2 linked regions of the Arabidopsis thaliana genome follow. The protein of the gene in region 1 interacts with the protein of each later gene in a pairwise test. Each region holds a gene or a part of one and is shown in the gene's direction. Other genes may lie near its edges.

Region 1 (4,388 bases):
TAGATATGCATTTACAATATGTTTTTTTTTTCTTCCCTTTTTTATGAGATTTAAAAGTATTATATTATGACACAAGTATGTTACACTGGTTAGGACTTAGCTTTAGACAAAAAAAAATCAGAGTCCGAGATTTTATATAGATTTCGTCTTTTTAATCAAAAAAGTTCTGATATATAACCTAAAAAGACTACGTAGTATGATCTAAGAGATTTGACAAAATTTGGTTGTAGAAAGTCCGATATTAAGCATTCTCATCAATTTCCCTTAAATATTTTTCTAAAATATTAGAGGAATACAAAAAAACATTCTCATTAACTATATAATTTTAATAACAGTTAAAACTTTCATATTTGCATGCCAAGGCTCTCTGATGAGTTTAAATGTTAAATCGCATGTGTAGGTTTAAACAGAGTTTATTGTTTGTGGAAAAATAAAAGAGACGTGGACTCGTCATGTGAAGTCCAAAATCTGCAAAATTATGTATGTAAATTAATGTACTTTGGGACCAGCATTCGTATGGACATTATTACCATAGTTGAATTTACTTCCCTTTCTTACAATAAGCTTTTGATTACTCATATATACCTCACACATGTTATGTGAATCGGTAAATTCATACTATATGTGAGGAAGTCACTTACAACAGTTGGATTTTAAAGGGAATCCGTCTGAAAAAAATTTGGAGAAAAAAAGAAATTGTTTTGCTTACATAATTTAATTTAAAAATTATAAATAACAATACTTTTATAAGAGAATAGTTTATCTGTTGACCAAAAAAAAAGGAATAGTTTATCTATCCACAAATGGATGATCCATATTGGAGTATATAGAACGATAAGAGATGATTCGATACGTACTAAATGAAAACTTTGAATACTGTGTATAGTAAGCAATCAGCATTAGTTTACAAGATCTTAGTTTTCGTAGGATTAGTTTAGACTGTTTAGTAATTTGATTCCAACCATTGTACAGGAGAAAATTTTTACCGCTCAAAACAACTAACTGAACGTCATACTTAATTGGGAATTTGGGAGTCGTCAAAGAAATGAAAAAGGTCAGATTAATTTATGGATTAATGAGTTTTATAGTCCTTATTCCAGCTTGACATTAGCAACATATACATTATTTGTGTGACATAATCAGGGAATATATATAATCAAAATTAATGGGATTTAAAATTTAATTATTCTTACAAAATATCAAAAAATTTAGTGTAGACGAACAAAAAGAGAATACATATATATATATAGTTCATTTGAAGAAGACGTGTATATGATCGATCCGAGTTGATAAGTATTAACAGATTACATACATATTGATAAGATGATGTGATCTCATCGATTAAGGTTCAATCTTTTAAATTGGTTAACTATCTGGTGATGACATGTCAACTAGTCGATTATGAGCATCATTAATGATCATGAACATGGACCACCTCTCTCTCTCTGTAAGATTATCTTTGCATCAAAGAGACAAAACATCCAAGAGACTAAAAGTATGGTCCTTGAGAGAGAAGAAGTCTCTTTAATTAGGTCTTTCTATTTCTCTCTCTCTCTATTAGTAGTAAAATCCATGTACTTATACGTAGACATAATAACCAAATAGGTCCGTGATGTTAAAGAGTACACACCTAACTTCACCTTGCTAATGATCTCTTACCTACAAACTCTCACTGTTTTTAGTTCATCTCATTACTCACTGTGACCCCATTTCATCTGCTTACGACCAATTTGGTAAGCTTTTTGTCTTAGTTTCAACATTTGCAGGAATCACTTTAAGAAACAACTAACTAAAAAGGAGATAACTTTGAAAAAGGAGGATTGATGGGTTTGTTTTTGATGAGATGGATATTTGTATATGTATGTCTAATGAGAGATATATTGCGTAGGGGAAGTGAATGTAGATTAGAGGTCTCCCTATATATTGATTGATTTTATCCGGCTATTTTTACCTACCGCGACACACGGTATAGATTCATAGTAAGCTACAATTTAAACACAAGATAAATCTGTAATCATATAGTATAGTACTATGCTTCCATATATACCCCATATTTACGTCTCCTATGCTTCCATACGCTAATTAGTTTTTTTTTTTTTCCAACCATAATTGCAGGTTTATATAAACATGAACTAACGAAAAAAATAAAATATAAACATGCACCATGGAGTCAATTTTAAAATTCTATGAGGTTTGATTTTCAAAAGGAAAAATCTAATATACTAATGAAAAAATTGAGATCATAAAAAAACTAATGAAGAAGTAGATTTATTTATTTTGAAAAATATGTACAAGTGAAATGTGGATCATTCTTTAGCTATATATATATAGGTGGATAAACGTAAAATCACGCACGCGGCCATGCTGCAGGGGTTAAATAGCAATTATGTATTTACCTTAAAAAGAATTTGGGAACCTCTCTTTAAATTAATGCAAAACCTCATCTCTTGTCTTTCTGTCTCTGAAACAGTCAACCTCATTCTTCTCAAACTCACTCTCCCTGATCTCTCTCTTCCATGGACGAAACCAACGGACGAAGAGAAACTCACGATTTCATGAACGTCAACGTTGAATCCTTCTCTCAGCTTCCTTTCATCCGCCGTACTCCTCCCAAAGAAAAAGCCGCCATTATTCGTCTCTTCGGCCAAGAGCTCGTCGGTGATAACTCCGACAACTTATCCGCAGAACCTTCTGATCATCAAACCACTACCAAGAACGATGAGAGCTCTGAGAATATCAAGGACAAAGACAAAGAAAAAGATAAGGACAAAGACAAAGATAACAACAACAACAGGAGATTCGAGTGTCACTACTGCTTCAGAAACTTCCCAACTTCTCAAGCCCTAGGTGGACATCAAAACGCTCACAAACGTGAACGTCAACACGCCAAACGCGGTTCCATGACATCATACCTTCATCATCATCAGCCTCATGACCCTCACCACATCTACGGCTTCCTCAACAACCACCACCACCGTCACTATCCGTCTTGGACGACGGAAGCTAGATCATACTACGGCGGAGGGGGACATCAAACGCCGTCGTACTACTCAAGGAATACTCTTGCTCCTCCTTCTTCTAACCCACCGACAATCAACGGAAGTCCTTTAGGTTTGTGGCGTGTACCGCCTTCCACGTCAACAAATACTATTCAAGGCGTTTACTCATCTTCACCAGCTTCAGCGTTTAGGTCGCATGAGCAAGAGACTAATAAGGAGCCTAATAACTGGCCGTACAGATTGATGAAACCCAATGTGCAAGATCATGTGAGTCTCGATCTTCATCTCTGACTTCTTTTATTTTATTTTTTTATCATCCATCATTGCTGTGATATATGAGACTCGCTGATCGGTGAAGCCAATTCTTTTGAGAGTGTTGGAGACTGAAAAAAAGAAAAAGAAAACGAGAACCGGTTTGGTGTGTAGATCATCTTGAACCTTTTTGAGGTTTTCACATTCTGAGTTTATATTAATAAAGGGAATAATATTTTGGTTAATTAGTAAAATTCGTTCATCCGTTTAATTTCCTCTCACGTGTGTGTGAATGTGAATGATATAATTATCGTTTTTTTTGTTTGATTTCATCTGTTCATTTGTGAGTTCTGTTATGGCTTCCTTCAAGACTCTCTATAACTTTCAGAGAAAGAGGAACATTAATTTAAGGGCCATGGAAGTCACACGTACTTTCTCTCTGTTGTTGCAGTCGAGATATTTAAAGTCTTAACCATTAAAAACCCCAGAAGACTCTTTAGATACAAAATGCTTAGGGTCTCTGTCTAATTAAAACGGTCTTTTACCGAATCAAGAGGCAACGAAGGATGGGTAAATGCAGATGTTGATGATGATTCGGTGACTGTGGGGATCACTGAAGACAATGGACAAGACAAAAGGGGAGAGAGAGAGAGAGAGTTGAGAAGTGAAAGTGGTCCATGATTACAAGTGTAGAGTTAGCCAAAGATAGAGCTTTCACATCTTTCTCAACACACAGAACCTAAAGCTAAAGCCTTTCCTCAAAAGCTTTCTTCTTTAGTTTCTTTTCTAACCTTTTTTTGGGCAGTTCAAAGAGAATCATCAACTACAAGCTGTCTACCATATTTCCTTGTTCATCTCTCTCTCTCTCTCCCCATATACCACAATGCTCAAAATATAATAAGAAAATAAAAATACTGGTTACAAGCCACGGCACATGACCATGTTTCTTCTTATTGCCTCCAGTGAACAGACTTTGAATGAAGTCCATATGCCCCAAGGCCTACAAGAATCACAATCGTATATCTCAGAAGAAGCAATGATATCAATCCTCGTACCTAACATATGACCTTCAATGTCTTAACACTAACCAAACATTAAAGACAACCATATTTATATAGCTACGACTTTCGGCATAGA
Region 2 (4,958 bases), on another chromosome or scaffold:
TGGTGATAATCTTTTACTTCAACTATCTGTAATTAAGACAGGAAAGGATCTTATTAATTAGATTTAGTTACTGTCATATGCAGATATGTCTAAAAAGACGTATAGATAGACCTACAATTTCTAGATAGTAATAAATACTACTATTAAACAGTAGTAGCAGGTGTAATAGTCTTAGCATGTCTCTGATAATGATTTTTAATGTATAATTATTACTTTGCATACTTTATAACATCTTCTTTTTTTTAACTAATAGTTACACACATGATAAGTCCGTAGATATGAATACTCGAAGGGGAGAGTTATTTTGATTTAAGTTTATACAATTTTTTCATACGGTTAAAATAGTCAATAAGTCTGTAGTTAATTTATTAGTAGAAATTGATCAACTCACTATCTTTTTAGTTTGATCTTAAGGTCTTTACATTTTTGGGTGTGTCTTTTATTCTTTAGTTTATTCTTTAGTACATTTTTGGGTGGGAAATTTTAAAAAACAAGTCATGTCAAATAGGGCTAAAATTGAAGTTCCACTAAAATAAATAATTTGTATGAGATAATAATCAAAATATTGGAAGTAACAGAAATAAATTAACAATTGTGAAATTTACGTTTAGTCATGTCATTTTGGTGGACCTGTAACAATCAACATAATTGATAATTAGTTATTTGATGAGCCATAATTAATTTATATAAAAAAGGAGAAAAAACAGACTTGAGATAGTAATTAAGAAAACTACAAAACCAGGCAGCATAAATATCTTCTCTGATTTGCAACCTGTAACTTCTTGATTAAATTATTTTTCAATCTTACATCATAAATCTCGTTGCTTGAAAATAATGAAATTTAATTTTCTTTTGCTGAGTCTTACAAATGAATATGAAGCAATGAAAAGTAACTAAAAATCCATCACAGGAGTAAAAAATTGGAAAATGGAAAAGATGAAACAAAAACGAAAAGAAAATCAAGGAAAAAAAAAAGAGAGGTGAAAGGTGTAGAAGGTGGTGGCGTGTAGTAACGAAGTCTCTGTCAAAGTTTTTGATAAATTAATCATGTACTGTGCTGACACTCCAAGATTTGAAACAGCCTTATCGATATAATATCCATTTTTCTATTAAAAATAAAAATTGAAACTCTTCACTTTCCAAATAACTAGTGTATATGTCTAATAATGTATCCCTCACTATACTACTATTGTTTCGATTAGTCATTGTACGTATAATAAATTATTATGTATCCCAATTTCCAAACACAATAATAAAAAGAAATTTCAAGTTCGTAGATAAAAAAAAAGATACAATCTGAATCCTCTCTTTTATTTTCATCACTGACAGAGAATACCACTGCACTTTTTCTCATGCACGCACGCATACTCAGATAGAAACAAGAGCCCATTCCTCGTTTCTTTAATAATTTAATTCAAAGAAATACGGACACTTCATGATTAATTTTAATTTTGTAATTTTAAAACAATCTCGAGTTATGTAAAAAATATATCGATAAACTCAAAAATGTGATGTAATAATCTGCTTTGGCTTTGCTCTCTTTACTACAAGACAAGGCAGAGAAAACCACAGATTCCTATGAAAGAGTAGACGTACCTGTCTTTTTATTATTACTAAATTTATAATTATCTTCTCTACGACTTTCTGGTTTTTAATCTTTTAATAATTATTTTACTTTCACTACCCCAAAAAAAAAGCTTCCCTCTATTTCGCCGTTTTAGATTTACCAAATCCCAATGTATAAAAAAAATAAACTAATAAAACCAAAAAATAATATCCATCCACATTATTACCACGCCCCTTACTCAAGAACCATCCATTATATTAACCTATTTATCTTCTTCTTCAAAACATTTGAGTCTCCTTAGGGTTTTTTCTCTCTCAAACAAAAGCTTTAGATCTTTCTTCTTAATGGACATTCCGTATTACCACTACGACCATGGCGGAGACAGCCAATATCTTCCACCGGGTTTCAGGTTTCATCCCACGGACGAAGAGCTCATCACTCATTACCTTCTCCGCAAAGTCCTCGACGGTTGCTTCTCAAGCCGTGCCATCGCAGAAGTTGATCTCAACAAGTGTGAGCCTTGGCAACTTCCCGGTAAGAAAATACAAAACTAACTTACTTGTAGTTCTTTTGTAATTAAGGTTTCTGAAATCTTTACTCTCAATGTTACTTAGGGAGAGCTAAGATGGGAGAGAAAGAATGGTACTTCTTTAGCCTCCGTGACCGGAAGTATCCGACGGGACTGAGAACTAACAGAGCAACTGAGGCTGGTTACTGGAAAGCTACCGGAAAAGACAGAGAGATCTTTAGTTCAAAGACTTGTGCACTTGTTGGGATGAAGAAGACTCTTGTCTTTTACAAAGGAAGAGCTCCGAAAGGAGAGAAGAGTAATTGGGTTATGCATGAATATCGTCTTGAAGGCAAATTCTCTTACCATTTCATCTCAAGAAGCTCCAAGGTACTTCGATTTAACCTTTCATTAGTTATTTTGTTGATAAAGTAAAGCCTTAATTTTCTTTGATTAATAAATTTACAATCTATTATTTGGAAAAAAAATTCGAGAGTGTGACATAGTCGGTGACGTTGATTTTTTTCTCTTTTGCTTTATTGCATTTAATTTTGATGGCTGAAAAGGCATGGTTCTTTACTGTGGTTATCTGAGAGCATTATGGAACATGAAATAGAAAAGATCTGCTGTTTTTATGTATTGGGATTTCAATCATAATGGTGTTTTCCTAAAGTAAGAAAACATTCAATAGCTCTGATAAAATAAAATATTAATACATCCTACTTTTGGAAAGCTTAATGCAAAAAACCAGAACCAATGCAAATCTTCAGGATTTTTTTCTGACCTAGATATATTAAAAAGAAATTTAATTAAATTAATTTTACTTAATTAGTGTTCCATATCCATTGTAGACTTGTAGTGTCCAATGTACATTCCCTCTGTGCACGCTTTTACTCTATGGTTTTTCTTAATCTTCACTCTCTTTTATTTCCAAGATCTAACATTGACTTTCTCATCAAACATATATTATATAAAATATTTGACTTTTCAAAACTCTAATTTATTCCTTCAGGATGAATGGGTGATCTCTAGGGTTTTCCAGAAAACCACTTTAGCTAGCACCGGAGCCGTCTCCGAAGGAGGAGGAGGAGGAGGAGCAACTGTGAGCGTAAGCAGCGGTACTGGTCCATCTAAAAAGACGAAAGTACCCTCAACAATCTCAAGAAACTATCAAGAACAACCAAGCTCTCCTTCCTCCGTCTCACTCCCACCTCTCCTGGATCCGACCACTACCCTCGGCTACACCGACAGCAGTTGCTCCTACGACAGCCGTAGCACCAACACAACCGTCACAGCCAGCGCAATAACCGAGCACGTGTCCTGTTTCTCCACTGTCCCTACTACTACTACGGCCTTGGGCTTAGACGTTAACTCATTCAGCCGTCTTCCACCGCCGCTAGGGTTTGACTTTGACCCTTTTCCTCGTTTCGTTTCTAGAAACGTCTCGACTCAATCTAACTTCAGATCGTTCCAAGAAAACTTCAATCAATTTCCTTACTTTGGATCGTCTTCTGCATCGACTATGACCTCCGCCGTTAATCTGCCTTCTTTCCAAGGCGGCGGAGGCGTCTCCGGGATGAATTACTGGCTACCGGCGACTGCCGAAGAGAATGAGTCAAAGGTCGGTGTGCTTCATGCTGGACTTGACTGTATTTGGAACTACTGATCACAAAAGAGGTGACTTATAATTGTTCCCGTTAGGGTTTTATTTATGTATTTCTAGGATGATTATGGTATTATGAAATGTGTGTACCGAGGAGCTTAATATTGCACTTAGCTTGATGTTCCGCTTAATTCTCTAGTTTTAAGTTTATCCGGTTGTGTTAATTAGGAGGTAATATGCAAGGAAAATGTTTTCTAGACTATGAACGTGCATATGTATAAGCTATGCTCGTTTTTGTAATGTTTGACATTATGTTAATTTCATGGCTTTTTCATGTTTTATATTTCTCATGATATTTGACATGTGTCCTTGGTTATCAATACAATCATACAGTATATTACCGACAAAATGAATTTCTTCGGTCGCTTCTAGATACCTTAGTTTTCTTCTTGTTAATACAATTTGATATGGCGGTTATATATATGTTTCCGGAATTCAACCGTTCCGAATCTTCGGTTAGATGATTTCCGTAATTACATAACATGGCTAATTATTTAATTTCTTCATCAATTGAAGATGCTCAAATGTAAAACATGCATGTAGTTTTTGTTTATTAATTCTAGCTAATTAAGGTTGACATGTGTAACTGCCAAAATATTTCAAGAAAGTTTCATGCTTTTAAAGTAAGTACTCATAATTCAGTGGATTAATCAGTCTATGAACACCATTTTCAGTTAGGTGTATCTTCTTGCTACAATCGTACACATATGAGACTAAACACAACAATTTGCGTTTGGCTTAATTGATTAAGATAACATGCATGTACATGGTAGTTACTGAAAATAATTTACATACTAATTTTGATTAACTTAATGCATTGTAAACCCACCAAAGAAAAGAAGTAGTTTTGAAATTAAGGATTTTGAAACGGGGATGATGAATATGATGCGCATGCTGACGAACGGACCACTCCCAAATTCAGATCTTGTACAACAGTCCACCTCACTTTCAGAAGGATGGCTTTCACATTTCTATTTTTAGAAAGAGACATAATTAATAATACCTCTGTTTATTACCATTATATATGTGTTTTCATTTCACGTGTGTATACTAGTAGGAGTATGATATATGTATGTGTGTAACACAACCATCATCATCATCATCATCATTACCATCATCAATTATTGCTCTTGTTGCATCACCAACCTATACTACCTAGTCATAAGACAAATTCACAGACTCACATATACGTCTTGCTAAATGGCAAAATTTCATGATGT

The links. The genes of interacting proteins can lie anywhere in the genome.
Region 2: the proteins of ZFP8 (region 1) and CUC2 interact in a two-hybrid assay, tested with the Arabidopsis thaliana proteins (one large-scale study listed by BioGRID).

The regions. Positions count from the first base shown.
Region 1 is NC_003071.7:17,505,040-17,509,427, forward strand, and holds ZFP8 (zinc finger protein 8), read left to right. Parts: upstream 1-2,303; 5' UTR 2,304-2,516; coding exon 2,517-3,290; 3' UTR 3,291-3,577; downstream 3,578-4,388. UniProt on the Arabidopsis thaliana protein: Probable transcription factor required for the initiation of inflorescence trichomes in response to gibberellin and cytokinin. Is not involved in the regulation of trichome branching. Is functionally equivalent to GIS2.
Region 2 is NC_003076.8:21,900,749-21,905,706, reverse strand, and holds CUC2 (NAC (No Apical Meristem) domain transcriptional regulator superfamily protein), read left to right. Parts: upstream 1-1,852; 5' UTR 1,853-1,911; coding exon 1,912-2,101; intron 2,102-2,181; coding exon 2,182-2,465; intron 2,466-3,087; coding exon 3,088-3,741; 3' UTR 3,742-4,003; downstream 4,004-4,958.